Linked DNA regions of Struthio camelus. The protein of the gene in region 3 interacts with the protein of the main gene of each other region in a pairwise test. Links are inferred from orthologs where the notes say so. Each region holds a gene or a part of one and is shown on either strand. Other genes may lie near its edges.

Region 1 (7,676 bases), on a different chromosome or scaffold from region 3:
TAGTTTTAAAGAACATGTAAATAATTAAAAGAAAATCATTCCATGCCTCACAATATGCAAGACAAGACTCAGCATGGAACAGATTTTTGTAACTTGTTTATAAATTAAGCTTCTCTCTTTTGTTTGGAACTTTGAAAAAGTAATCATGTAAATAAGACTTACTACACACATTTGTTTGACTGGAAAAAAGATATTTCCTCACCTCCTTTGGTATTAATGAAAAATCTGGGATGTATAATATGTGCAGGTCTTGGCTTTTGAGCTCTAGTGCTGCGCAGCTATTTAGTTCTTTCGAACAGCCAACAGTGTGATGCTAGCCAGAAGTCACGAAGAGCAGTTGTTAGGGTCATAAAGTGGGATCCATCTGAAGAAGTGCCAAAGAGCGCACAAAATGCTTGGGGTTTATGGTTTGATACTTATTAATTAGATGAACCAGCTGGGTTTTGTTTTGTTTTGTTTTGTTTTTGTAAATAAGTGCAAAAAGTTTCAACTCTTACCCATGACTGCCCTGCAACTGGGTGTCAAGGTAGAGAAGATAACTGATAATGTTTCAGTAATATGAAAGATGCCACTCTTGAGCTAGTCCATTAAAACCTTATGGTTAACTTTTCAGCAACGACTTTCACTTTAAGATACTTGTCACAGATATCAAATGTACATATGTATTAATTTTCAGTGTAACTAGGGAGCATACAGAACTGTAATGCAGTCACAAAGTCTACTTGATGATTATCACAGATTTGTAACTCTCACTTAAATTATGTAAGATAAGTTGACATTCTATCTTGTTAACAAGATGTATTTTTCTATGTTAGTTAAATGTATAATTTGTATAATTTTGTATATTAAATGTATGCATATTTTAAATTAAAAACTTTATAATTTTAATTATTTTTAACTCTAAAATAGTGGTGGAGATTGTGAAATATAGTTGTAAATGCAACTCATATTAAGTGGGGAATCGTGAAAGGTGGCACGTTTGTACATTTGGGAACAAATGCAGAGCATCAGGTGCATTTTCCTTTGTGTGTTGTGATGTAAAGTGAAACACAGGGCTGAAGTATCGCAGGAAATGTCACAGAATTTTGCAAAACATGAGCTGGTTTTACATGACTGGATCTAATTTTAGTTCAAAATACATTGGTATAATGTCAAGGGGCAAGATTCAGGTTAGTTATTGTGGATCATTAATTTGAGAGTTATGCTCTTTGAAACCTAGAAATCTGGTACTAGCAAGACTGTATGGGACACCAACCTTAGATACCTACATTTCCTTACGTGGTCGAGTCAAGAGAAACTGTATGCCTGGACACCGACCCAGAAAGTCTCTGTTCTGAGGAAGGGGCCACCAAGCGCTAGCTAATTGGTCTGCTACTAGTGAGGGTAAGGCAATGGTTGTGTCTGAGCTCTTGCTTCTCTTGGTGGGGGTGCTGTCATTGAGCTTTTGCTGAATTATCATAATTAATACAAATTATCAGAAAAGCTTGGGGAGATCACTTGTTCAAGAAGTGGGAAACCTGAGTCTTCCTCAGCCAATGGGGTTTTGGACCCACGGTTCCTACATGTCAGGACACAGCCCAAACCACCAAACTATAAGATGGGATTTTGCGGGGGGGGGAGGAGGAGGAGGAGGACACAGCAGCCAGGAATACAATAGTCCTTTAGAGCAGAGAGAGGGAGTCTGACCCTGTGAGTTTGCAACTCAGGTTGCTCATCTGGGAGAAAGAAAACTTGGATCCCAGTCGCTGTCTTATTCTGACTCCCTCTGGACTTTCACACTTTCTGTCTGATGATTCTGTTGTAAAATGTGCGATACAACTTAGCAAAAATAGGTGCAAAATTGCATGTACTAGGAGCACTGTGGCAGGATTTGCCCCTGCACCGGGGAAGTTTTGTTCTAGCTCATGGCATTTGCACTGCTGCAAGGAGAGTGCTGGATATAACCAGCAAGCTGGTAAATGATGATTTTTTCGAAAGACTTTTGTTGAAAGTTTTTGTGGAATGAAGCAAGCATGTCTCCAGGTTTTCCACTGTCTCTCATCTAGCCTGCTCTGAATATGATTTATTTATCATTGATCCCATATAGGTGTAAAGACTAAAGATTCTATAGGAAGAGGGGACACTTTTGACCAAGTTCTGTTCCTTTTTCACCAAGTTATGCCAAGACAGGATGAGAAGCAGGGTCTGCAGCAGACTATACCGAGACAGTATATTTCTCCAGAGTCCCACATGCATTTTTTAGATAAACTTGCAGGGTTGCAGGAAGACAGTGTATGAGGCTGTAGCTATGTCTGCCTCTGTGGCAGCTAAAGCTACAATTTCATCTCTTAGTCAGCAGAACAGTATGCATCTGTCCAGTTAGAACACAGTTCTTAATAAACTAAGGGTTATAATATGAAGAATTTCCGTTTAAGAGGAAAGGAAGATTCTCATAGAATTTTATGCTGTTATTTCTCACTTGAAAGTTTAATGCTGTTTTCTAAAGCAATGATTAGACGTGTTCTGAGTCTTGTGGTCTCTTTATGTATTATCACTAAGAAGAATACGCTAGCTAATGCTGAATTTTTTTTTCTTTGTTACTTCAAAAAAGTGAGCAGTTCTAGAAAACTGAGCAGTGCTATATAATCAGATCCAGAGTGTAAATAGAGTCCATCTTTCTTGGCTTTATAGATGTTAAAGAAAAGATGCTATTCAGCTCTGAATTCTTTATCAGACACACGCACCATGTAGTATGGCACCTATTATGGGATCATCAGAAATATTTTTTTCTGGAGGTTCTAATTCATCGCTTGATTAGAGAGAGAAACCCAGTAAAATGAATAATTTCCCCAATACTTAAGAAGACATAAATGAAATTACATGTACTATAAATGAAATTACATGTACTGCCTGCATATCTCACTATCAGGGTTTGTTATCCTGTGGAGGAACAAACTGATCTTTTTTTTTCCAATATGATCAATAAATCTCAGTGTTATCATTAAGGAAAAGGAAACAATATTTGCCTATATACAAGAAGTATTTAGGAAAGTGATGTCCTAGGAACTATACTTATTTTTTCACATACCAATACAATTTTCATATGATTATAACATGTTAACACATTCTGTGTTAGCATTGTTACCATATGTTAATACAGTAGCAAGGTTTATTAAGTAAGCTGTGAAAATGTATATATGTTCAGAAATGTCAGTCATGATGCTGAGACTATTAAAATCTGAGTATTAATAATCAATGATCAGTGAACTTCTGACTAATTCTCTAACTCCCCTCGTGTAAATGACATACCAGTGTTCAAGGACATCAAGACAGGAAATACCACTGCATTACAAAAAGCTCAGGAGAGAAAGATATTGTCCTCTGATGTGTTACAGCAAAGTTCAGGGATGTTATATCACTGCTTATGGCATGGTTTTACTGCATGGGTAATTGTAAATGAGAAAGATGCTTATCTGGACATCCTTCCCATGAAATCCTGACAACCTGTTTCTTTAACCTCCCGCTTCTCCTAATCCATTTATAACTTGCCATTTTTCTCATGCTAGGACCACCAGGCACACCTGTGGGCTGCAGATAATAGTGCTGTGTGGCTGGGCTTGTGTTCAAACGACATGAGAGTGTTACACATGAGCAGTAAACAGTTCTTGTGATTGATCCAAGGCTTCAGATACGCTTAGCCACTTAATCAATTGCAGAACAGTTTGTTTCAATGTATTATTTCAGAGCAACAGAGAATGTTCCCTATGTAACTGCTGGTGTGTTCAGGGCCTGTCAAAATTGTCTAAGATGGCGGGGGGGGGGAGGGGGGAATAGGAGGGGTGAGAAAGGGGAGAGGGATGTCCAAGATTTTGTGGCTTCAGGGGATGACCGCCTTAGGCACCTAGCATTATAAGACAAGCAGAGATGTAAAGATAGACCTTCTGAAGTGGGCTGTGCGAAGAGTTGAGAGTAAAACCTTCTCCATTCCTCCTGCCTTTATTTTGGGAATCGGCGTTTCTGAAGTCAGAAAGTCCTCTGAGTCAAATTTCGCCGGTTAGCTCCGGTTTACTGAAACGAGCCCCGGCGAGAGGCAGCGTGAGCTCCCGGCCGGGGCTGCGCGTACCCGGGAGCGACCCTCTCCGCCGCTCCGGCGCGGGGCAGCGCGGCCGCCGCAGCGCCGCCCGCCCGGCGCCTCGGGGGTGCTGAACGGACAGCTCCGCGGGGGGCGCCGCGCTCCCGCCGCCGCCGCGGGCTCCGCGGGGGCTCCGCGGGGGCGCGCCGGGCTCCGCGGGCTGGGGGCAGTGCGGGCCGCGGAGCCGACGCGCGGTGGCGGTGGCGGTGGCGGTGGCGGCGGCAGGGTTGGCCGCGCAGGCAGCGGCCGGCGTTACCACTTCCGTGTCAGGGCTGGCCGCCTCCGCGGTGCCTGCTGCCTCCGCGGCGCGCTGCAGTCTCGCAGCCGCCCCCGGGCGCCCTCGCAGCGCCGCCGCGGCGGGAGGGGGGGGCAAGCACAGCGGTTGGTGGCAGCCGGGCGCAGCGGGGTCGGTCCCCCCCCCCCCCCAGCCCCCGGGCACCAGCTGCCGCGGCTCGGCACGCACGGCAGGGAGAGGGCAGCGCCAGCTCCCCCTGCCCCGGGGCCTGGGTCTGGCTGTGCTTCCTCGCCCCGCCCCGCTCTGCGCCCATCGCCGAGGCTCCCGCGGCGGCCGCTGACGGCCTGGGGCGGCCCCCGGGGCCCCTGCGTCCTCCCACCTCCCTCCCCGCGGGCTGTGCCCCCCCGCCGCCGGCGGCACCGCCGCAGCCTGCTCCTGCGGAGGGAGCGGGGGGGTAGCGTGAGTGTGCGAAGTGGGAGCAACTCCATTCGGCTCGCTCGGGGGGAGATTTGGGTGTCTTTCTTCTTCTTTTTTTTTTTCTTTTTTTTCCTTTTTTAAAAATTCCTCCGAAGCCACGTAGCAGCAGGTGACGGGCGGTCTGTCCGGAGGGCCCGCCAAGAAGGACCCTGCGCGCCGGCTGCGTGTGCAGGCGAGGGGCTCCCCCCTCCCCTCCCTCCCGCCCCCCGGCTCATTCTTTATACCGGGGGAGCGTGTGCACTGCGGTCCTTGCTCTGGGAATTGCTGCTGCTCTTCCCATTCGTCAAGGGCTTTCCAATCACCTGCTACTGCCACCCTCTCCTCTCCTCTCTTTGTACTTTATTTTCACGTGCTCTTTACTAACACGGCTATTTTTAAATTCCGCTTGGATTTATTTCTTTTTCTTTCTTTCTTCCTTTCTTTCTTTTATTTTTTTTTTCTTGCAGGGGCTGGATGGGGGGAGGGAGGTTAACGTTTGCATCTCCCTAAGGGAAAGATCCCACCAGCCAACCCAGCTCCGCCACTGCTGCATCCATCCATTCATTTTTATGGTCTCAAGCAGCCTATCCCAGTAGTGGAAGGTGCAGAGAAGCGGGAGGCAGAAAGAGAGAGAGAGAGAGAGAGAGTGGGAGGGCGGGAGAGATCTGGACAGCGAGAATGGCCGAGAGAAAGAGGAACTGGAATAAAGAAGATGACCTGCCCGTGTATCTAGCTAGGCCGGGTACGACAGCCCAGACGCCGCGGCAGAAATACGGGGGGATGTTCGCCTCTGTGGAGGGGGCCTACGAGAACAAAACCATCGACTTCGACGCCTACAGCGTGGGGAAGAAGGGGTCCCGGACCCCGCGGAGCGGCAGCCGGCACGACATGCTGGACGGAGGGGACAATTACAGCGAGACCGCCAGCGACATCAGCGAGGTCTCCGGCTCCGTGATCAGCTCCCCGGGCGACCGGGAGGACAAGACCCCGGGCGTGGAGATCCGCTACCCCATGGGGAAGGAGCTGCTGCAGGGCCACGACAACGGGCAGGTACGAGGGGCTGAGGGCGCGCCGGGGGCCGGGGCTCCGCACGTCGGGCAAGCCCCGCTGCAGAGCCCCGCTGCGGCTTGTCGGGGTGGGGGGGGGGTCACCGTGCCGCGGCGGCCGGGGCCGGCTCCGCGGGTGACTTTCGGCACGGCAGGCCGAGTAGGCACGGCCTCCCCCCCACCCCGCCCCTTTCCTGGCACGATGATGCTGTAGGAAGAGCCCGTCCGGCCCACGCCAGACCCGTCAACTCTCTCACTTGCCTGAGCTTGCGGGGGGGGAGGGGAAGGAAGAACCCTAGAAATTGTTTCCCTTTGTAAGTGATGGCGATGAGTTTCCTGCGTTTTCCTTCCCGCCGGCGGAGAGCTGCACATGCCGGGTGGGCGGGGGCGGGGGCGGCCCGGGCCCCCTCCGGTGCCGCCGCCCGGGACGGCGCCGGCGGCCGAACAAAGCGCAGCGCGCCCGGCCCGGCCCGGCCCCGCCTCGGACACGGGCTCCCCCCGGCCCCGGCGGACCCCTCACTCCAGGCTCCCCTCCTGCAGCCCCGTGCGCTTTCATTGTCTCCCCGGGATCTTCCGAAACCTTTGCCCAAGAGTTTCCCACCTCCTCGGCTGCAGCCTGGGAATGTGCTGGAGACTTAAGGTAAAGCGTGCTGCTCCGTCTTGCCCCTACCAGCCTCGCTTCTCCGTCTTACCCCAGATAAGGCATGCAAGCCGGAGGCACACCAAGGGGGGCTGGCTCTCCGGGGAATGGAGGCTGTGAATGATTTCCCCTTATAAATAAACGCAGCCTTGCAGTGATGTTCCTGCTCAATACAGCCACTTTGCATCGCATAGATATATCCTTTCCTTTAGCGCCCAGCCTGGAGGCTCTGTGGCCTCTCTGTGCTCTGCCCTTTTGACAAGTTAAACTGAAGAGTTTTCACTTTTTTCTCCTATTCTTCCATTAGCGCGTGAATCGGGTGCTGGCCCGGTCCGCCCGGGAGTGGGGCAGGGTGCGGGGTGCAGCTGGGGAGTGCCTGCTGCACTGTGCGCCCTGGGGAGAGCCAGCAGCGCCCGGTCGGGCAAGGCACCTGCACCGCCTCCGCTTGATTGCGACGACCTCGGGGTCACCTATAGCGGCTGCCAACTGCAGTGCAGTCATCTCTTTCCTGGCTCGCCGTAACCCTGGCATCCTTCCCATTACCCGCCCCCCCCAGGCGGTGGGGGGCCAGGGCACATCCTGAATGTCCCCTCCTTGCGCTGGGTCACCCTGGATGCCCTCCTCCCTGCTCGGGCGCTGCTACCTGGTTCAGCCTGGGACCCAGGTGAGTGGGCAGGCATTACACGCTACCTCTGCAGGTCTCACCGTGTTTCCAAAGTTGTCTGGCTCTGGATTAGATTGGGGTAGGGGTGAAGTGGGGGTCCGGAGGAGCCAGGGTGTAAAGGAGGTGATACGTGATAAGTGGCCATACTGTCAGCTGCAGCCACATGCTTGCCGCCTGCACACTGGTCGTCAGGGCTTTCTTGCAAACCCTCAACGGCCATTTCAGGGGAGAAGTGTCAGGAATGTGGCCTGGGTGGGAAATACCTTGTATATGTGTGTGTTGGTGGGTCTGTGTGTGTGCAATGTGCACCTGGCTCCTTTCTGTTGGGAAGGGCTGTAACTTGGGGGCAGGTGCGTGGCGCCTTTTATTCTTCCTGCGGTTGCGCGTGGCGCCTTAGTCCGGCACAGGGCGAGGGGCAAGGCCTTCTGTGAGTCAGAAAGATGGAAAGGTTTCAATTAGCAGCACGTTTCTTCTTCTGTGGCTGCTAGCATAACATCCATGTGGCCTGGCTGTGCTGGGCTGCG
Region 2 (7,284 bases), on a different chromosome or scaffold from region 3:
CAGTGCCAAACTTCATTAAAAAGCACTGCAGCTTACATCTGTCACTGACATCCGGCAACAGTGCCAGCTGCTTACCACTGCTGATCAAGAAAGTCATGTCAGCCCCAAAACATCTCCTGTGTCTCCTGCTAAGCTAGCCGAAGACAATTCTTCAGCATAGCTAGCCATACTGTGTAAAATATTTTGTATCACCAGCTGAACAGATTATTACTGGTAATAGAAACAGAAAGCTGAAATGAGAGAAAACATCTAACCGCAAATAATAAAAGGCTGATGGACAAAAAACTGGAACTGTTCTTCAGCTGCTCTCCATTGTATTGGTGTTTACGGAAGAGATTGTCCAGAACACTAATACTTGTGCTTAGTGCTGTGCTTCACAGCTTCAAAGGTCTAGGCAGAGACAGATCCTCAGTTCCTCAGTGACTAAGTCAATATTGTCCTTGAGTTACAGATGGAAAAAACAGATGGCATTTTCCCTTTTGTATCATTTCAGAAGAACATAGATACACTGGAGCCATTTCCCTACCTGGGCATACTCCTCTTCTGCACTGTACAACCAAGCATGCTTGACTTTCTCCTTCTCTTTAGCCACTTCCATGATCTGCTCAAATGAAGCATTATCTTCACTCGTGTGTTTTGCTAAGAAGCTGTCCAAACTGGGAAGTACATCTTTATCATCTTTTTCTCCTTCTCCTAACAAGAGGAGGGAAGAAGCCTGAGAAAGTGATTAACACTTCCCTTTCTAGAAAGGAGCTATACATAACTCTTAATCCCTTCAGAGCTAGCTTTCTACTGACCCACTAATAATTAATTACAAAGCTTGTGAGAGGAAAAAAGTGTACACACATAATAGTACAATAATAAATTCTTTTTAGAAGATGTATAACTAATTTTCACATAAAACCTTTTATGGCATTTATAGCTATTCATGTTAAAGGAAAAACACAAGAGTGACCAGATGCTAGCAGACATTTTCAGTACCACTATATGGATAGCTTTGTTCCTGGTTTGTTGCTTACTGACAAAATTAATTTCATACAGCAGGAAGAATTTACTGTCTTCAAAGAAATGTTATGACTATGTAAATTCTCAATTCAGTTAGAGATTCACAACTGGGAATTCATACAGCTGTAAAGTATTACGTCCAACTTCAGAGTGATTATTTTCACTACCATAAGGTTAAAGGAGACTCCTTATAAAACCATTACAGGAGACAGAGCTCACAACAGTACTTTCCTGCTGCTGAAGAGTTCAACGAGGAACAACATTCCCTTACCTTCCTCTGCAGCTTTGATGCCAACCTTGGGTTTATTCACGAGCGGAAGACCACCTGGATGCACTTCAGGGGTTTCAAATGTGGCTGGAGTAACATCTGTGACAAAGAAAAAGATTCCCGTGGTTACTGGAGCACAGAGCAGGACATTGCCTGTGACATTTTGCAGCATAGTAAGGATCATGTGCCAAATAAGTCATAGAAGACATATCAAGAGAAGAACTATTGAATTAAAAAGGTGCGAAAAGACTTCAAAACAGTCTATGCAATTCAATTCCAAAACTAACAAGATTTCATTTCCATCTAAGACATTATTTTTCTTCTACTGAAAACAATACAGAACAGCTGCAGTCCTACATATTTGCCATACTGTCTACAGCTTCACCCAAAAAAAGCAGGCAGCAATGTTAATGTGGTAACAACCTTAACCCAGGTCAGTGCCAGCACCTACGATAGGGGAAGGAAAGGAAGCCGCTTGGTGACACATGTCCTTTGCCATGAGAGCGAGCTATACTCCATAGCAAGAACTTACCTAGGCACTGGGCTCTAGCTTCAGAAATATCTGAACATCTTAAAGCAAGTATACAACTGCACACTTGATACTTGCTATGTGAAGCTCTGATAATAATGAACTTTCAACACCCTCTGTCCCCAATATATTACAGTGTTATACCTCTACATATACAGCAAAAATACCTAACATTGTAATAATGATTCAAAAACAGTCTAGAATTTTTGACAGTATAATACTGCAAGTTAGAGCAAGTAACAGCCTCTCAAGAACAAGACTTGGAACAATATGCCTATGGGGAATAGTTATTCTATAGCTGTTTTTCCAAAGAACAATTCCCTCAAGGAATTATTAGACACCATCAAAGTCAAGTTCAGCAGTAGGTACTAAATTACTTGGTGATCAGATACTGGCTACTGCCCAATCTAGTATATTAAACCCCCCACAACGTCAATCTTGATTCTTTAAGATAATCACTGCTTGCACAAAGTTAGATAAAAGGGAACTATAACATTAGCTATAAGCTGTTATGTCTTAAAAAAGAAAACCTAATGAATAAAAAGCTGAGGTCCTAATCTGTTAAGATAACTTTTTCTCCTTCTTGCATAGCCCTTGGCATAAAAGTGACAAAACACAAACTTTTTTGTAGCAAGCCTCTATACTCGTAGCTTGAACGTGAAAACAGCCCCAGCGAGCCAGTTCTTACAGGGTGCGGGGGTGTCCCTTGACGATTTGCCCAAGGAGGAACCAAACTTGATAGCGATTTGTCTCATTTTCTCCAAGTCACCGTTTTCTTCGGCCTCCAGATATTCCTTCTGCGCTCGTAACTTCTCCACATCAGGGAAGAAGTCCCGCTGAATGATTTTCTCTAAGCTCTGCAAACAGACAGACGACTGTAAGCGCAGGACTCCTCGGCCGGGGGGGTCGCGCCCAGCTGCGCAGCGCGGTCAGCCCGGGCCGGGCCGGGCCACGGGGGCCGCGGGTGGCCGGCTCGGGGCCGCCGAGGCTCACCTCGATGTAGGCCTCCTCGTCCAGGATCTTCTTCGGGCGCCTCGGGGCCGGCTGCGCTGCCTCCCGCCCCGCCGCCACGACGGCGCCCTCGGGCCCGGCGGGCACCAGGGCGCGGGACGAGGCCGCCGGAACCGCCGCCGCCGCCTCCATAACGCCGAGCGGGCCACCAACGCCGTGTCCCTCCTCAGCCGCCGTCGCCGACGCAACGCGCCGTGACGCAACACCGCTGCGCGAACGGCAGCCGGGAAGCCCCGCACAAACCGCCCCGCCCCACCCGGGCGAGCGGGAAGGAGGGGAGGGGGGGGGTCATAGAGCGCTGCGCGCGGCTAGAGCGTCGCAGCGGCGCGCGCGCCCCCTGCCGCCAGGGCAGGCCAAGCCCGCCCCGCGCCCTCCTCCGCGGCCCGGCCGGTTCCCATGGCAACGGCGCGGCCTGGCCCCGGGGGCGGCGGGGCCCGGCGGGGAGGGGTCTTCCTTCCCCAGAAGGGCTCGGGCTCGGGCCTGCCGGGGCTCGGGGCCGCCGGCGAGCTGGGGTGCCCGGGGGCGGCGGGGGGGGGGGCGGTTGTGCTTCGGCGGGTCCCCTGCGACGCGAGCCGGGGCTGGCTGGGGGCGGTGGGTCCTGTCGCGGCGGGAAGGGACAGGGCTGGTAAGGGCGGCCGGGCCTCGCCGCGCTCCGTGTTGCACAGCGCGTAGACGTGCGTCGGGGATAGCTTTATTCACCTCGCTCTTTTACAGGACGTGTTTTCTCTTGGGCCGGCCAGGGACACACACACACAAATACGCTAACGAGGAGCTGCACTACCAGTCCGAGCTGCGGCACGGACGAGCCGAGGAGGCGAGCCGAACTCCTGCTCTCGGCAAGAGTTACTTGTTCTCCCCTCAGGCCGTAAGGGAGAAATCCGTGTTTGTTTGCTCAAGGAGCAAATCACCCGGTCAGTGAGCTTCCACATCGACCCCAGTGGCAGCTCTCCATGCCACGTGGTGCTGCAAATCGTGAACATACATTTGCTGAATATTTTGTAAATCTATAGTAGCAAAACAAGCACAAATGCTACCTGCACAGAGCAAAGAAGCTGGGGGAAATCCCCCGTTCTCTTGAAGCACACACATTTAACACTGATGCAGCTCTGCCCCTGCACTGGCTTTTGGCAGCTGCTTCTGCTTAAGCATCTGAGGCTCATGCCTCAGGATTTATTTGCCGCATGAACTACGTTTGGAAGAACTAAGGCTTGAAAGTACACTGTCTGCTTTTACCTGCCCTCCCCCTCTTAGAATCGTGACGATTCCCTTTTGCTTCATTACTTCCCCTCAAGCTACCCCACTGCAGAATCTGATGGCTAAGGGAAAGCGATGCTCTTGGTGTTCACCCGCTGAGATGCAGCCTAACACCACTAACAGTTCTCCTCAGGGGATTTCTTGGTGCCTTGAAGGATGAGAGCTGAAGCAGATGCCCTCTTCTGATGCCGCCACTTGGCTCGTCGATTTTTAAACCAAACCTGAAAAGCAAAGAACAAGAAAGGAAGAATTTCTGCATTTCATTTGCTACTTGGAAGAGGTGAGGCAGTTACCCTCCTGGACTTTACAGGGTGGCACTAAGCTTTAGGATACACCTATGCATTTCCCAATGTAAAATCTCCTGCAAAGTACACTTGATACAAGATCTATCCAGCTGGGACCCCCATGGCAAATACAAAAGTCATGCAGGCCACAGAAAAAAAGAATATACCCTTGGGTGTAGAGTTGTATCAGCAGAATTAGGTGCGTGCGTGCGTGCGTGCGCGCGCGTGTGTGTGTGTGTGTGTGTGTGTGTGTGTATTTATATAGGTATATCTATGAGAAAGTTCATGGGGCCAGGCCACCAAAATAACCCAAGCCAGCAGAACTGTTTTATACTCTTCCATTACATGCCAAATACCCATCTGTGTTTTCTCAAATACCTAAAAGTGGTTTTTAAAATGAGGCCCTGGGTCTGCAGCCCTGAAACAGACAGAACAATGCCCAGGACTCTGTTCTCCTGGGGGTGCTTTCAGCAAACAGAATGGCAAAATACTCATCCTGGCACCTCACCAAATGGCAGGATCTCACCTCCACCCTCTCCTCCTTCAAGTGAATGCGGTTCGCTAAGTGCTCTCTGGTGATGACGTCTGGGTACTGATTCTGATGGAAAAGCGTTTCCAGGGCCTGCAGCTGGTCCTCAGTGAATATGGTGCGATGCCGGCGTGTCCGTCTCTGGATCTGGTGGAAGGTCTGCAGCTCGCTCGGGCTCCCCTGGGGACTCTTACAGGCCCTGACCGCAGAGTGAAACAGCCGCATGGGCCAGGGGAACCTGGCGTCTGCAAAGGAAGAGTTACAGTCAACACCGTTGGGGACAAAGGACTGAAATAAAGATCCTGCTCAAGGCAGTTGAGGTGCAAGCTGGATCCACACGTGTGGCTTCGAAGGAGGTGCAGCTGGCCAGCTGGAGTGGGTGAAAAGCTGCATGATCATGATGCAAGCAAGAGAAAGGCTCACGGCATCACTTCGGGAGAAGCGTGCAGGAAGGAAGTGCTGGCTGCATTTTCCTCATTTACTTAGCAGTCGCAATATGCCCAGCTCCAGAAAATCACTGGAAACCCACAGACCAGGTAGGAAGAGAAGAAATGTCTTTCAGTAATGAAATGGGGGATTTTTGAGCCTTCAGGATGCTCTTGAACCACATTTTTAAGGCTTTGCTACATTTTTTTTGCTAGATGCAGCCAAAAAAATCCTTCCCTTAAATGACAAGTGACGTTCCCCACAGCCAGCATTGTCAAGAAGAGCAGGCACAGCTCTGGCCATTGGCAGCATGACCGTGGGGCCCATGCTCCACAGAGAACTCCCACCCCTAGAAGCATCACCCTCTGTAAGTGTTCTACAATAAAACATCAGTGCCTAGTAACAAATAGCACCTGCAGTTTTTAAAACCCAGTAGCACTGCAGGACTGCCTGTTCTTAGAAGCAGTGCTGAGAACAGGTCCAGCCACCCCTTGCCGGAGCTGAGGTCTAAGAAAACCACCGTGGCAATGTGGTAGGCCAGACACTGTATTTACTATATACCCAGGTTTTCCCTTCTACCCAGTGTTAGCACCAGCTGTAATGCCCCTTCCACTGCCATATGCAGTGAATCCAGCCCAAACACTCACCCAGCCAACTCGGTGAGTCCTGCAGGGAATGGGCGCTCGTGTGAGAACAGCAGCAGCAGTTGCAACCTGCACGTTCCAGCTCTTCCTCCTCCTCCTCCTCGTCCGGCAGGGAGCTGGCTGCGACGGCCTCCAGTTCACACAGCCCCTTGGGTGCACAGTCCAAGAGCCCCTGGAGGCACAGTGGGACCAGGACCTGAGGGCTTTTTTCTGCTGGGCTGGAGAGGATGTTCTCGATGCTGAATGAACACTGCTTCTTCAGGCCTCTCCTACTGAAGTCGACGCCCGACGCCGGCTCCGAAGACATCCTGTGCCAGGCGCAGCGGCCGTGGGAGCGGGCAGCTCAACGCTGAACGGCGCTGGCTCTTGTGAACTAACTGTGGAGTGGGGTCTTACAAGGAAAAAGGCTGCTTACACTCACATAACTTTTAAAGCAGACCAGCGAAGCCATCCAGAATCACCGTTTTGCCTTGGAGCTTGAAGTGACTGTCGTTCTTGCACCCAGGTTTTTATTTTATACACACCCACACATGCACTTTCCGTCTAACCTAGCTGCTTTATGACTGAAGCCATCCTAAATATATATATAGAGAGAGATATAATCCCTTTGGAAAGAAAATCGTAAACCCTTCTGTGAATAAAATAAATTCTAACTAATCTTGGCAGCTTTGTGAAGGGTTAGTGTGGATCTAAGATTTAGCTAATCCCACAGAAATGACTCGAGAAGGAAATCTGATTTCTCCATCTCGGGTGTAGATTTGAGGTGGTTATGATCTCCATTGTGCTGGAGCCTCCAATCCAAGGAAGGGGGAGGATAGCTGTTCCCAGCCCGGAAATGGACCGGAGGATTAACTCCTTAAAAGAAGCAAATTATCCCTTTCTCTGTCCAAATGAAAGCTTTCCCATCAAAAGAGACCTGTCATATCATACAATATAACAGAGAAAGAGAGTTCAGCTTAATGAAAAATCATTTTTAGTGATAGCCTAGCCTTTGGCTGCACGAGAACTCTCTGTGAAAGTTGATGTATTTTCTGCTCAGAGCACAGAAATCGTATTTTCCCTCCTTCCCCTTTCCCCCACCTTCATTGCTTTAATCACAGTAACAATGCAGATGCTTTGCATGTATCTAACATACACTTTGTAAGGATTCAAAGCCCTTAATAAATTAGATTAGTGGCAGCTCACAGCCCCTCTGTGGCACAGATTAGTGGCATATAGTCACCTGCGGTACAGCCACCCACAAGGGCAGCAGATCAGTTGTAGCTCTGCTCAGAGTTACAGCAGAGTTTGGAAGGGGCAAGGATGAGCATTGCCTCTGCGCAAACATAGACAGC
Region 3 (6,934 bases):
GGTCCATTTTGCTTGGAGTTTACTCAGTATTCATGGGGCCATGGGAAATGTGAAGAAATGTCTCCATAGCGCAATGCATTCCAGTCCATCCTCTGAAAAGGATTTAAGGTTGCTTTATCGTACTGACAACAAAAGTGATTGCATTTGCATAGCAGGATATTTTTCCTGGATGCTTAATATTTATGGCTCATTTTATACATCGTGGAAAAAATGAGCATTTCATGTTTTAAAGTAGAAGCTTTATTAAAGGGCACAAATCTGATTAATGAAAGTATTCAAATCTTTTTGTTTAGCAGAAGTCTGTAGTAATGGAAAAGCACATTCAGTGTCTGGGCTAACTTACTCTAGTTTCCTACTGCTTAAATAAAATGGCAAATCAAAAAATATGAATGCCATTATTTTTGGAAATGTGTTCAGACCTACACATAGTTGTTCAAGAAAGTCAGAAAAATTTTGGGTTGCATGAGACTTTCCCAATTTTAGTAGAACAGATACCAAAGCAGTTTAGGCATCTGTACCTTCTCCCTGTTCACACCCGTTATTCACTGTTAATGAGAGTTACACAGCAATCCAATATTTTTTGTGACACTTATTCAGCCTTATTCCTTATTTCAGTCTTGGCTGTGAATCAATGCATCAATTCCCTGGTGAAAAGGCAGAAAATACCAAAATAAATTAGCTGTGGGAACTGAAAGGCTCATATTAAAAATCTCTGTTTCTTTTCTTAAGTGTGCCAGTGGCTTAGCTCTGATCTGCCTCTACAGAAATGCAGGTGAGAGCAGTACAGCAAGCTGAAGGAGCAGCCTGTCGGAGTACTGGAATTACAAATGAAGGCATAACAAGAAACAGTGCAGATGATCCCTTACTAATGGACTAGTTCATGAATAATCCTCAGTGTGGTGTTCAGTGATGTGCTATTAGCTGTGTATCCTTTGCATAAGTAGTAGTCAGCCTCCTGACCAGCCATGCTCTTTGAAAATCCCATAGCACTTTCCTTAAAATTAGGCAGAGTACTGTGGTTTCAGTTCAAACAACTACACTCTGCAAGATTTCTATGGTTACACTTAGATACATTATTTCCTGACCAGTTCTGTAGATATCTTTTTGCACTTCAAGAAGACAGCAGTTCTAGTTCCCCTTTGGGGTTTGGGATGCAAATGTGGGTTACGTTTATTACAGCCTTACAGGAAATGTAGAGCTTACTCTACTTAGGTATCTATGTAAGTGCCGACCAGCAAAAGGCACTTACAGGTTTATTGTAATCCTGGCAATTGACAGTATCATAACACTTCTAGGAAAATTTGATAGTGAGAAACAGCAATGAGGCAGGTGGCCAAGAGTACATATGGCAGAAGTGACATAACATATGGAAATTACACTTGAAACATGGAGGAAAGGGGTAAATGTATTTGCTAAAACAAACACCTCCCTGAGTTTTAGGGGCAAAGCAGTTTCTGAGTGAAGGATGACTGCTGCATGTATGCGCCATAAAGAGATTTTGTGGAGTACAAATAAACTATCTTCTGTTAGGAAGAACAGAGGGTTGAATGGGAATAGTGCACCTTTAAAAAAACAACCATCTCTTAAAACTCCCAGCACTTCTGAGTAAAGCATCTTTAATCTATGAGGCTGTTTGGTATGTGCTGCTTTACTTTTTTGCCTGCTCATACAAGGAGTGTGTACTTTTGTGCCAGGATTCACAAAGGCTTATAGCTCAGACTTGATGGCTTAAATAAAGAGCTCTCAGAGGGCTGGAGAGCCCGGCAGAGGCCGGGCTGGGATGGCGGTACAGTCAGCCCCAGGAATGCTGTGTGACCTCTGCCTCCTATTCAAGGACTGAATGAAATGAGCTGTAGACCAGGACTCATGCTGCAAGCACTTCAGTAGCTCAACCTTGTCAGCTTCGTTTGCTTGACTAAGCTTCAGTGAACAATAGCAAATTAAAACCTCACAGACCTACGTTTAGCTACAAACTACGTTCCTGTAACTTCTGGTCGCCATTCAGAATCAAACTAAAGCACAATCTCCAATACCAAAAAAATTTTAAAAAAATCCTCAAAAAATCCTTTGTGCTCCGATTCCTCCTCATGAGGTACAATATCTGACGAATGCAGGCTGACTTGACTGTGAGTTGGGATGCGAAAATTACCTTCCTCTGTGCCCTGTGTTCATGTTCAGGTTTATCAGAACTTCCAGTAAGTATATTTGCTTCTGCAGGACCTCAAGTTAAAAACAATTAAAAATTAATGGTAGTTTTGCATCCCATAGATGCTGAAGTACTACATTATGGATCTCTCTACATTCATACAGAAATCAATCTTAAGGAGTTTTTTTACTGCCAAATTTCATGCAATATTGCTATTGCCCTGTACTTCCTATATCATTCTTCTCTGTTACTGGTAGCCCCATTTTGATAGTAAAATTGCTCTTGAATCCCTGGGATTTTTATCTGAAGCCACAGACAGAGGATACTTCCAGATCGTGACTAACAAATACTTGTCATTTCACTGGGTGCTTTCCTAAGATTCTGATCTTGTGCCTACTGAAATCAATGCCAGCGTCTGTTGGGTACAACACTCGCAGACCCAAACCTTGGTTAAATTCAAGCCTGCCTCTCTCCTAGTTATGAGAAGGGTTGCATCCAAGAGCAGGAGCAAGATCTTCATTGCAGCTATTCCAAAAACGTATGCTAAACAATTACTTATGGCCTGGGACCAATGTTAAAATAATGACAGAATTCAGTGTGCCTCTTCACTAAGCCATGTAAACGCTCACCCAGATAAAGGGAAAAGGCGTATAGCCTGGGAACGTGTGTTGAACAGAGGCGTTGAACTAACACCGGGGCAGAAGCTGAGATTGCTGTGACAGGAGGCAGCTAATGACAAAAGGAGACACAGGCAATTTATTTCCCTGCCTGTTTATTTTGGACATTTGGCAGCCCTTTGTGAATAGTTAATAACACTTTGCCCTGATTGCATTGTTTCAGAAAGCTAAGAAAGAAAAGAAAAAAAGAAGTTCTCCAGCAGATAGATTATACTGTTTTGTTTTTTTTTGTTTAATAATCCTCCTGTGCTGTGCTATTTGAAGTATTTTGGCTGTGGCTTAACCTTAAAACTGGCAACCTTCCTTGCAAGTCACGGCGCTCAGTCAGCGCAGGAGCGCACCAAACTCAAGGGTTAGCTCAACGCGCCTTGCCGCCCCGCCAGCGATGTTGCTTCGCGCGCCGACCCCCGCGGGCGCGCAGCGCGGGGCCGGCGCCGCCGCCGCCTCTTCCTTCGCAGGGCGGCGGAGCGCGGGCCGTGCCGGCGGCGCGGCCGCTGAGGCGGGGGAGCCCCGGCGGCTGCGCGGCGGGGCGGCCCCGGCGCCGGGTCCCCGCTACGCCCCGGACCCCCCGCCTCAGCGGCCGCCCCCGCCCGCTGCCTCAACGGCCGCTCCCCCCGCCTCAACGGCCGCCCCCGCCCGCTGCCTCCGCCTCAACGGCCGCTCCCGCCCCCCGCCCGCTCCCGCCTCAGCGGCCGCCGCCCCACAGCCGCCGCCCGCGGGGACGGCCGCGGTCCCACCGGGACTCGAGGCGGGGGGAGGTTTGCCGGCCCTGGGGACTCAGTCGGCAGCGGGGGAGAGATGCCGCGGGCTGCCTGCGGGGAGGGGGAGAGCGGCCGGCCGTTACTTTTTCCCCTCGCCGGCGTCCCTCAGCCCCCTGCCGCCGCCGCATCCCGCCCGGCCCCTTCCCGCGGGGCCCTGAGTCACGCCTCGCGCCAGCCTTTGTGTCCTGGCCGGGCCGGGCTGGCTGCAAACCCCCGCGCCCCCCGCCCCGGCCCCGCCCGCTCCCCCTCCCTCTCCCCTCCCCCTCCCCCTCCCCGCGGGGCGAGGCGGTGGCGGGCGGCGCGGCCATTGGTGGCGGGCGGCGGGCGGGGCGGGCCCGGCAGGGGGCGCGGCGCCCCATAAGTAGGGCCTGGGGCGGCGCCCCCCGCTCTTCTTCGCTCGCCTCTCGCCGCCGCGCAGCTGAGCCGCCCTCCTCCGCTCCCGGATTACAAAGCCCGCGCCGCCGCCATGAGCATCACCACCAAGAACTCCTCGTACCGCCGGATGTTCGGCGGGGGCAGCCGCCCCAGCACCGGCACCCGCTACATCACCTCCAGCACCCGCTACTCGCTGGGCAGCGCCCTGCGCCCCAGCAGCGCTCGCTACGTGTCCGCCTCGCCCGGCGGCATGTACGCCACCAAGGCGACGTCGGTGCGGCTGCGGAGCAGCATGCCGCCCATGCGGCTCCACGACGCCGTGGACTTCTCGCTGGCGGACGCCATCAACACGGAGTTCAAGGCGAACCGCACCAACGAGAAGGTGGAGCTGCAGGAGCTCAACGACCGCTTTGCCAACTACATCGACAAGGTGCGCTTCCTGGAGCAGCAGAACAAGATCCTGCTGGCCGAGCTGGAGCAGCTCAAGGGCAAGGGCACGTCCCGCCTGGGCGACCTCTACGAGGAGGAGATGCGGGAGCTGCGCCGGCAGGTCGACCAGCTCACCAACGACAAGGCCCGGGTGGAGGTGGAGCGGGACAACCTCGCCGACGACATCATGCGGCTGAGGGAGAAGTGAGTGTGTAGGGCGGGGGGAGGAGGAGGAGGAGGGGGGCGGCGGCGGCCGCCCCTCGGGCCGAGGGGAGCGGGTCGGGCGCGGCCCGGCCTCGCGCCGCCGTCCCGGCTGCCCCCGGGCGGGCCGGGGCGGTGCCGCAGCCCCCGCGCCGCGCGGGCGGTGCGGAGTGGAGCGGCCGGGGGCGGGGGGCTCTCGGGCGGGTGGGGGCCGCGCTGCGCCCTCCTCACCGGCTTCTCTCCGCTCGCAGGTTGCAGGAGGAGATGCTGCAGCGGGAGGAGGCCGAGAACACCCTGCAGACCTTCCGACAGGTTGGTCACCGCCCCGACCGGCCGGCCCGTGGGGGCGGCGGGGGAGGGGGCCGCCTAGCGGCAGCGGCGGGCCCGTCCCGGCCGCGGCCGCCTTGCCGCCGCCGGTGACTTGCAATACTCGCGCTCCCCCGGGGCACCCAACAAACAAGGCAGCCGCCTGTATTTTAAGCGCGCTCGAAATAAGCAGCTGCCGTTCCCGAACCGCTGTATGGGAGAGAAAGTCCTGAGGTAGCGGCTGGGATGGGAGAGTGGGACTTGGAGTTGTGCTTCCCTTGCACAAAGGAATTCCATCGGTTCTCATGCACAATCTCCTTGTTTTCTTTAGGTTGATGCCACAGTCCAAGGGGGAGGGTAAAAACTATTGTCTTGCTTTATCCAAGTCTAGCCTATTTTACAAAAGGGCTCCGATGTGGAATCACTTTCTGATCCAATAAAAGTGAAAGGGGAGCCATCTGTTCGCTTGGCTGAAGGGTATTAATGGTTTCTATGGGATTCACCGTGGAATGCAGATACAGGCATTATGGCAAGTGTGGTGGCAGCAGATTGAAATAATAGAACTCTTTGTGTCCGAGGGGAGGGTGCAGTGGGCTGCATTCTTACTAAATGCGTAATGATGTAAGCATATTTCTAGAGAAAAGTGTCTGTCATGTATATGGTCTAGGCCTTATACAAAACAGAATTCCTTTTTTTATGAATCACTTCATAGCGCTACTAGAAAAGTTTTAAAGTTAAACTCTTTTGTATTGGTGTTGATGTCTGCTGATAAGTAGACCATTTGTCCCTTGGTGAGGTCACAGCAGTCAAGTTTTTCTCTTCTTATCGGTTTAAGAATGTAGAATTTAATCCTATGCAAACAAAGTTGTTAACACAGGAAAGCAGTTTAGTCTCGGTAGGAAGCTACCATGTTATCCAGATCAGCTAAAAGCTACATGATAAGTAGAACTAACTCTTCCAACAGTGTTGAAAAAGCTCTAAGCTCAGGTTTTCATTTGTGCAAAAATAGCTTTCAGTTTGGCTTAAGCCTTGTTTGGACTAGGAGATATTTAGGAATGCGCCTTCTCAAAACAAGATCTCATCCCTAAACCTGCTGGTGTGAAACAGCATTGCTAGAATTCTTCCCAGCTGAAAGTGACCGCCTCTATCTACAGACAGCTGGGCTCAGATCTGACTTGGTCACAAAGCTGTTCATATACATTAGTAGATGTCGCCATTCGAGAAGTCATCACTTGATTGTCAATATTTTCTTGGGCAAGGTTTTCAACTGCAGTATGCTTATATTCTCTAAAGGAGAACAGATGTCTTAATGAGATAACATGTAGAAATTAAGACAGCAACTGTCATTTAAAGTCTGGGAATTTAAAGTCTCTGTTAGTATTCTGGGAACAGAAGTTTGAAAAAGAAGAATTCAAGGTATGAATTAAATTCAAGCCTTAATTTAAGCTTCTGATTTTTTTGAATGCTAAGCCAATTTAAACGTGTGCAAAGGTCATATGTTTCTGCACTGAACTTTACTTTAGAGAATCTAATCTAGTCAGATTCTTTGCTGAATTCAGCTGGAGGATCCTTTGACTTAAGGTGGCTGGCTTAAAAGATCTTGCATGCTCAATTGTTCCACTTCAAGGCATGGCTATCTCCATCTCAAACTGATTCTACTTTTTTGTAGACTTAGACTCAAGGCCTTAATGAACTTGGTTTTATACGTATTCTACAACATTTATTATCCAGTTAATGCTTATGCTTTAAGGGGGGGGGTGGTCATTCAGAACCTCAGCCACCAGCAGATCTGTATGTGCAGTACAGCTAGGCCAGCTATATCCGTTTCACCTCTAAGGTACAGAATATGTAAAAATTGCAAATATTTGTGGATATATTACACTAAATCTGTGTATGTCTGAACTAGTGTATTATAGTGTGTTTAATTTGAACAATAGTAATATCTAACTTATCATAAGAGGGTAGGCTAAACATGCAGATTTTAAAAACTACATCTATTTAAATAGAAGTACTGTCTTTGGTAAGTGAGGTTAAATTTG
Region 4 (7,819 bases), on a different chromosome or scaffold from region 3:
GGGGGTTGGAAGAGATGGCTTTAAAACCATCCTCCATGCACTGACGTCACATAGAGGCCAGCTGCTAGGATGATGCTAAACGGAACTGTTTTTCAGTTTGCAAAAGTTGTGGAGTTATTCAAAGAGATTTGCAAATGCTGCCCTGTTTGAAAGGTTGTATCTTGTTTAGCTTTCTTTTTCCTTTTAAAGATCAAGATTTGCAGAACTGGATCTCAGCTAGCTATGCATTTCATTGCTTTCACTGCTGTTTAGAAATGGACTGAAAAACTTCTAAAGGATTTCTTACTCTATGAAAGGTATGATTTTGTTTCATTTTAAATTAGTATTTTTGAACAGTTTTAAACTGTTAAGATTTAAAAAACAATGAAAATTACTAATGTGGCAAACAGTTACTTAAACATCTCTCTAATGTTCCTATTTATATGTTATGCAGCATTTAGGTATGTTATGCTTGTTCTTTATTTGTACAGAACTGAACTTGATCAGTTCAGTTAGTTTCTCCAGAGCAGGGACAGATATATTAACCAAATACAGATGATAGGTACCATTTTGAACACTTCAGTCCTTATATTTTTCTTTTTCTCTTCTTCTTTCCTCTTCTCTCTCTTCCTTTCTTTTTCTTTTCCTTCCTTCCTTCTTTCCCTCTTTTTCCTCTTTTCCTTTCTTTCTCTCTTTTCCTCCACCCCCTCCTTCCTTCTTTCCTTCTTTTTTCTTTTTCTTTTTCTTTTTCTTTTTCTTTTTCTTTTTCTTTTTCTTTTTCTTTTTCTTTTTCTTTTTCTTTTTCTTTTTCTTCCTTTTTCTTTTTCTTTTTCTTCCTTTTCCTTTCTCTTTCTCTTTTCCTTTCTCTTTTCCTTTCCCTTTCTTTTTTCCTTTTCCTTTTTTTCCCTTTCCCTTTCTTTTTTCCTTTTCCTTTTTCTTTCCCTTTCCCTTTCTGTTTCCGTTTCCCTTTCCCTTTTTCTCTCTTCTTCCTCTTTTTCTTTCTCTTTTCTTTCTTTCTATCTTTTCTTTCTTTCTTTCTTTTTTCTTTCTTTCTTTTTCTGCCTCTCTCTCTCTTCCTCTCTTTTTTTCTTCCTCTCTCTTTCAAATGTCATTTCTTTTTAGATATAAAGTGCACAATAATGTAACACCTGTCACTCTTTTTTAACTGGGTAAATAAATAAATAATTTTACAATTTCCTTAGTCATCCAAAATGCAGCACCTTGTTAGAAATACAGTTTAATAGCTTTTTTCTAAAATCGGGGGAAGACTTGTATATCCGAATGGTTGTGCACACGCAATCTAATTAATCTGTGTTGAAAAAAAAATCTTCTCTACTGGTAACACTACAGTTTATTTTCAGAATTTCCATACTCCAGTTAGAGAGGTTGATTTCAAACTATTTTGTATTTTTAATATGTAGATAGAAAGGACATAGGTAAGACATAGGGCAATAGTAACATTAACATCAAATACTAGCTTAAAACATTTTTTTGCTTGAGAGGAGGGAGGGCTAGAGGAAGAGTAAAGGGAAAATGCATCTGATGTAGACAAAATTGATTATTTACTTGAAGTTGGTTGCTGTAATGAGTTTCTGACCTTGTCTAGGACATGCAGAAAAAGCCAATACTGGAAGTACACAGATAGTGTTCTGTTCCACACAGAAAATTAAAATCATGCCTGCCTTTTGTTTACATAAAAGGGAAATAGACTTTTAAATAAAAAAGAAGTGGCATTTTGTGTCTTATTGGGTTGTATAAGCCATGTGAGAGGCCCATGAGGACATCCCAGTACTGACTACAGACAGAGGGTATATTACCAGGGCTACAGATTAGATTTTTATTCCTGGTTCCCAAGTAGGAAAAAAATCAGACAGACCCCCCTCCCCCCCATACAAAAAAGGAAAAGAGACACAAAGAGATAGGATTTAACATTCTCCCAGGAATTTATCCAGCGTAGAAAAGAAGCAGAAGTGTATAGTCATCCAGCTGCTAGCATCAGTAAACATGAGTTTCCTTCTCAGTATTTGTGTCAAAAGGAAATCAGAGAAGCGAAAGAGGCAGTACAAGTTTGCTGTGGAGCTTGGAGCTACACATAACTATCAGTATGTAACCTTTTCCAAGACCTTATTGCATTTTGATGGTATCCAATCTATTTCTATAATTAGAGTCCCATATGAAACAGCTTGTAAATTGTTAAGGTGGATGCAAACATGGCAATAATGGTTCCCAGCACTAAGAAACCGTGAGCAGTCTTTTAATGCTGTATGCATGCTGGAAAGGATTACAGATTATATATTTGTTCTGATATGTATATATAAGATTATAATGTATAGTCTTGAGTTTCTCTCCAGTAATACGTATTTATTGCTGCTGATTGAGTCATGCTCATTACTACTAATGGTGTACTGGGTGACTCATGATTTGTACAACTTGTAAGCAGATTTTGCCTGTATCTCTAGTTCATGACTTGACAGTGTTTCCACAGTTTATCTGTTTCTTTCTGACACACATTTGAAAGAATCTGGAGAAGCAGAGTCAATAGAGAAATTATTTTGATATATCTCTCTGAGATGTCTTGAAAAAGTTATAAAGGCATAAATGTAGCAAAAAAAAAAAAAAAAAGCAAATGACTGCACCAAAAGTTACAACCTTTGAAATAGCAAAGTGAGAAAGCATTGAAATGGTTGTAAAGTTCTTTAGCAATAGATGTTTAAATTGCAATAGATTATTAATGCAGCAGGATTTTAGTAAGTTGTTTTTGATCAACACTTAACCAAAATCTTTGGCACAAAGCTGAAACTTTGGTCTGGAGAGGTAAAGTCTCTATAGCCTGGCTGCCTTCCCAAGGAAGCCATGAGCAAACCAGAGTTTGACTTCTCTTATGTTGAGAATGCTGTATTGTCTTTCAGCAGCTCTCTTAGTTTCAGGGAATTTTATGTTTTTGTAAAGCTGCTCTATATGCTTCTAGGCAACTGGAAAAAGAAAAGGTTTGAAATATCTCTGTAAATAGTTCAGGGACAGATTGCCATTTCAGAGTTCTAAGTCAGCTGTGAAGAAAAGTTTGAAGGAGCTAAACTCCAATGCCATGTTACGTGGTGACGTGGTGACCCCACTGTGAAATTGTGAAACAACCTGGCAGAGATATTCAGAACATAATCAGCCCGTTCTCTAAGACCTCAGTCCAAAACTCTTTGGGGTGAACAGTTTTGCTACCACTGAATTTGAATTGGGCCCTTGGTAGCTGTCAGTTGAAACATCCTGTAGCAGGACTTCATATGATGCAAAGACCCAAGCAACCTGTTGGACTTCAGCTGAGCTCTCTGCTTATTTGTTAATGAAAGAAGCCGATTCCAAGTTTGGCATCAGCTCACCAGTCAGCTGAAATAATGCAGACACTGGTAAGCATAGGAGCCACAGCTGAATAAACATGACTTGCCTAATAAAATAGGGGATGAGGAAGAACTTTGCAGGAAGCTCAAGAATGAGTATTCACTATAGCAAAGAAAATATAGAAGATAAAATGAGCAGTTCCTGTGAGCTGGCAAGCACTGACTGTCGGTCAGGGAAGTGAACAAACTCCAGAAGGGTGAACAGGGCTTACCCCTAGTTAACTCTATGATAGTTTGTTTGTCTGCACATACGCTTACTTTCTGGTGGGAGATCAAAGCAGTTCAGATGCATTTTGTGACTAGAACTAGATTCCTTGTCCACCTAAGTAACACAACAGCTTGCTTTGGGAGACAGAGTTAGCAAACTCGAGTATCAGTGTGTATGTACAAGCCGCTACAGAAGCCTACACCACAGAAGCCATTGTAACTGAATGAACGGGTTTTTTGGCCTTGTTAACATAGTAAAAGTGCTGATAATAGTGGAATTTCCATTTTCAAAGCTGAGAAAGCAAGAGGATGACCAGCCCATCAAATCTATAACTGTTTTGCCCCAACGTCAAAAGAACAGATTTCCAGCTATGTTTGAGTTAGTGCAATCAGTGGATAGGTTCTAGTTCTCCCTAAGTTGGTCCTGGAACTAATGTTTCTAGATTTAGATCTGTATATCCAAATTACACTAACACTTTGTAGTGCTCTATGGTTCTTTATATATTAGAATGATGCTTTCTACTGAATGCGTGTTTGTAACATGTAAGTAGCTTTTCTTTCCTGTTTTCCTTCATGTATTCTAAAGCATTCATATAACCATGAGAATTTGCTTCATGTATGAAGCTTATAGTCTTCAATTGCTAGAAGAATGCCATAATCTTTGTCATGCTACATGCGTGCGTGAAAAGATTGCATGAGCAAACACTACAGCTTTACATTTATGGTTGTCTTTTGAACAAAGACAAACGTAGCTTTCACCCTCAGGGGCAGACCTTGCAGGATCGCAAGGTGCTAAAGTGCCATTCGGTGTCATGCAGACTCAAATTTCATTGAAAGCAGGTTTAGTGAAGAGTGATGGCAGATATGTGAAGTGGCCACAGTACGCAGCCTATTGTGGCAGACATTCCTGGATTATATGATGCTGGATGTGCATCGCTCCTTGCCTTTTCAGATTGGGCTTATGTACTCCTAGGTTTGCTTCCCATGATGCTTAGTTCTTCCATATTACAGTCATACTGCAGATATAGATCATGCAATCCTGTGATACTGTCTCTTGCAAAAACATGTGAGTTAATTATTTTGGGGGTAGGGGGGAGGTTGTTGATAGTTTTTTCCTGAAAGCTAAAATCAAATATGAGTAAGACTTATTTTGATAAACTTCCAGGAAACATTCAGGGAAGAAGGAAAAACGCAGAGCTATCTTCTTGCTGTTGCACAAACTGTAGCCATGGACCTACATAAACAACTGGAGAATACTGAAAAGAATTGGAATAAAGAGAAGATGGAATTGCTGGAGAGATTTGACAATGAAAGGAAAGAATGGGAATGTCAATGGAAGGTCATGCAGAAGAAAATAGAAGAGGTACCTTTAGACAAAACTCTGAACACTGACATTTCACTTCAGTCTTGTCAGTGACTAGAATCACTTCTATAGAGTGACTATAGAGACTTCTATGAATTTTTCTGTGAATTATTTCCTATTCCCTATCTGTCACTGGGAGTTTCTAATAGCTGATGGTAGGATACAGAGCCTGGGGTTAAGAAGTATTTGCAACTGCTCATTTAATCATGAATAAGGAGTAGGAGCTTAAATATTACTTTGTGTCAAATTTGCTATAATGTTGGCTGCATATACTGCTGCCAGTTCTTCTGAGCATAAGCCACAGTGCTCATTTATACATGCTTTTTACAAGTAAGGACATGCTGAACAGACCTGGGGTTTAGGAAAACGCATATTTAGTAGCAAAATTTCAATCTAGGTATCATAACATAATTCTCTGGTAAAAAGTAGTTGCTTGGAACAAGTCTGCTGGCATAAAGAGTAATATTAAAAAGAATGTCATACATCAAACACTGTATGATGCAGAATTATTCTGGCAAGATCTACTCCATTTATGGATGACATTTAGCCGAGAAAATGGCTACAGTAAGTATCGTGAAAGCCCTGACACAGCTTGCGTTCACACATAGTAACAAACACTCACTGTCTGCCATTTTTAATGCATCTCTTTCTAGAAATAGTTTAGGCAATTATTCATTATTCTTTTATCCCCAAATTATCACTTCAGCAGAACCCTCTGGCACTCTGTAATGCACAAATTGAATCTTCCTTGGCAATGTATATGGGCAAGTTTCTCATTAGTGAGCCTTCCACATTTTTCATTCTAATATACGCATGAAGTAGTTTTGCTTGCTCACTGCCAACATCATCCTGTGGCTGAGCAGCACAGGAATGTATGGCAGAGATTGCTCACGTGAAAATATGAGAAGGAAAATGATCAGCGCCAAATGAATTGCAGCCATACACTGCCCTCAGCCTGCAGCATAACTCCATAATGTCAGCTTTCTTATATATTGCCAGCAGTTCTTTTGGACTTTGGTATGATAGTCATGGCCACATTCTGCCTTTTTGTGTTATGTCATTTCTGTGCTGTCTTACTTAATTTTACCACCAAGGTGAGAATGCTTCAAAAGTTAGTGATGTGATCTGTGTATGCAGTTGAATATCATTTTGTTTGGTTTATAAGTCGTTCTGGAATGAAGGTAGTGTGTTGTGATAAGGTATTCTGATGTGATAGCATTATTAGAAGTCCTCATAACAACAGCAAAGACCATGTGTGTTCCATATGTTTTCATTAGCCTGTGGGTTAGGAAAGCATGACAGGGTGAAAAAGTGATAAAAAGTAGGAGTGGAGGGCAAGAGAATGAATGAAGCAAATACCTGGGTGGTACAGGACCAGACAAAACTACAGAAGATGTTCTGAGGCTATTGATATCTAAGGTTACTTTTTAAGCTGTTTTTTAAGCTGCCCTTGATTTCAGTTTCCTGCAATTTCTTTCCAAAAGGCACATGGCTGAAGAAGAGAAGAGATATCTTATAAATACCGTCATCTGCATATATCAACTCTTTCTACCCACACCCAATGTTACTGAGTGAAGCATCGTTCAAAAAAGATAAATATGTTCTTTCATCATAAAGGTCATCGGAGTATCATGATTTAACAGAGCATTTTACTCTTTTTCAGCTTTACCAGGAGGTAAAACTTAGACGGGAGAACAATATGAACGTATACGATAATAAGGACATTCATAGCAAGATGCTGCAGCTGTCCATGTGTTCCCCTGCTTCGGAAGAGAGTGACGCAGCCGAACTGAATTATCAATACAAGGTAGCAAATGACAGGATGGAAAAAGAGAATTTGCTCAGTAAAACAGGACAAGACTGTAAAGAAACCAGAGCCAAGAGGAAAAGCAATGATCCGTTAAGGGACAATCTGGCCTTTGAGAACCATGAGGAACCTGAAGATAGCGTCAGCATCAAAGCTCCCAAGAAAAATGCCAAGAATTACATTGGTGATCTCAATGTAGTAAGTAAAGTATTAGCATGTTTCAGTTAGAAGGGTGAGGAAAACAGTGAGGCCTTTGGCCTGCCAGACCTAAAGAACTGATCTCCCTGATTTTAGCTTCCCAGCAAGGGACTGCTACTCCCTCCTCTACTTCTTTCTCACTTTGCTATTGATGAGTTTCTTATCACTGATTAAATGTGTTAACAGCATGTTCTTTACCTCAGTTCATAACTTGGGGGCATTTTCCTCACTTTCATTGTGCTACTTTGCTCTGCTCTGATTCTTATATGTAAATCACCACAAGTTTCAAAATAATTCTGGAGGTACCATTTAAGAACGCTTATGTTAAATAAATATTTTTATATTTATAAAGGCTCTTAAAGAACTTGCCAGAGTTAGTGAAGAATTATGCAGCTATCAAGAGGAAATTCGAAAGAAGTCCAACCACAGAAGGTAAAAACATTGTTTGACCTCTTTATGTTAGAGAAAGAAAATGAATGAGACTTACTGTGCTTCTATTCATTTTGAAGGGGGAGGGTGCTGTTGAAATATTAGGATCTGGGTAGGTTCCATCCTCTGAGTGTTTCAGTGCTCAGAGTAAAACGTTCAAATGACATATGCTGAAATGTAACTCAAGGCCATGTTTTACTTGAAAAATAAAGTTTATCTATAGAAACTACAAAATGACATTAGAATTTATATGAGATTAAATTGTACCTCTTTCCAATGGCTACACAGGGGGATTAGGAGAGTGAAAAGATTTTTCTGGCTGTCCCTATCTCATTTCCATGCAATTTTATACAACATTACATGGGTATGTTAGGATGGGATGCTTCTTTGTGTTAAGACCAGATCCAGCCCTAAATGTCAGGGACTGAGAGTGCAAGAGCCCAAAGA

The links.
Region 1: the proteins of VIM (region 3) and CRMP1 interact in binary tests that used the Homo sapiens proteins (3 or more experiments, as listed by UniProt). The link is inferred for Struthio camelus from reciprocal best matches to the Homo sapiens genes VIM and CRMP1.
Region 2: the proteins of VIM (region 3) and ESS2 interact in a two-hybrid assay, tested with the Homo sapiens proteins (2 studies listed by BioGRID and IntAct). The link is inferred for Struthio camelus from reciprocal best matches to the Homo sapiens genes VIM and ESS2.
Region 4: the proteins of VIM (region 3) and KIAA0408 interact in binary tests that used the Homo sapiens proteins (3 or more experiments, as listed by UniProt). The link is inferred for Struthio camelus from reciprocal best matches to the Homo sapiens genes VIM and KIAA0408.

What each region holds. Positions count from the first base shown.
Region 1 is NC_090945.1:73,512,364-73,520,039, reverse strand, and holds the start of CRMP1 (dihydropyrimidinase-related protein 1), read left to right. Parts: upstream 1-4,663; 5' UTR 4,664-5,480; coding exon 5,481-5,852; intron 5,853-6,455; exon of another isoform or gene 6,456-6,470; coding exon of another isoform or gene 6,471-6,488; intron 6,489-7,086; exon of another isoform or gene 7,087-7,101; coding exon of another isoform or gene 7,102-7,152; intron 7,153-7,676.
Region 2 is NC_090958.1:9,799,934-9,807,217, forward strand, and holds the start of ESS2 (splicing factor ESS-2 homolog), read right to left. Parts: upstream 3,012-7,284; 5' UTR 2,946-3,011; coding exon 2,796-2,945; intron 2,660-2,795; coding exon 2,491-2,659; intron 1,373-2,490; coding exon 1,277-1,372; intron 694-1,276; coding exon 527-693; intron 1-526. Other genes in the region: GSC2 (homeobox protein goosecoid-2), read right to left, coding at 4,184-4,288, 4,878-5,125, 5,954-6,257. UniProt on the Homo sapiens protein: May be involved in pre-mRNA splicing.
Region 3 is NC_090943.1:23,968,580-23,975,513, reverse strand, and holds the start of VIM (vimentin), read left to right. Parts: upstream 1-3,915; 5' UTR 3,916-4,050; coding exon 4,051-4,592; intron 4,593-4,840; coding exon 4,841-4,901; intron 4,902-6,934. UniProt on the Homo sapiens protein: Vimentins are class-III intermediate filaments found in various non-epithelial cells, especially mesenchymal cells. Vimentin is attached to the nucleus, endoplasmic reticulum, and mitochondria, either laterally or terminally.
Region 4 is NC_090944.1:69,373,775-69,381,593, reverse strand, and holds the start of KIAA0408 (uncharacterized protein KIAA0408 homolog), read left to right. Parts: upstream 1-4,803; coding exon 4,804-4,938; intron 4,939-6,601; coding exon 6,602-6,943; intron 6,944-7,295; coding exon 7,296-7,375; intron 7,376-7,819.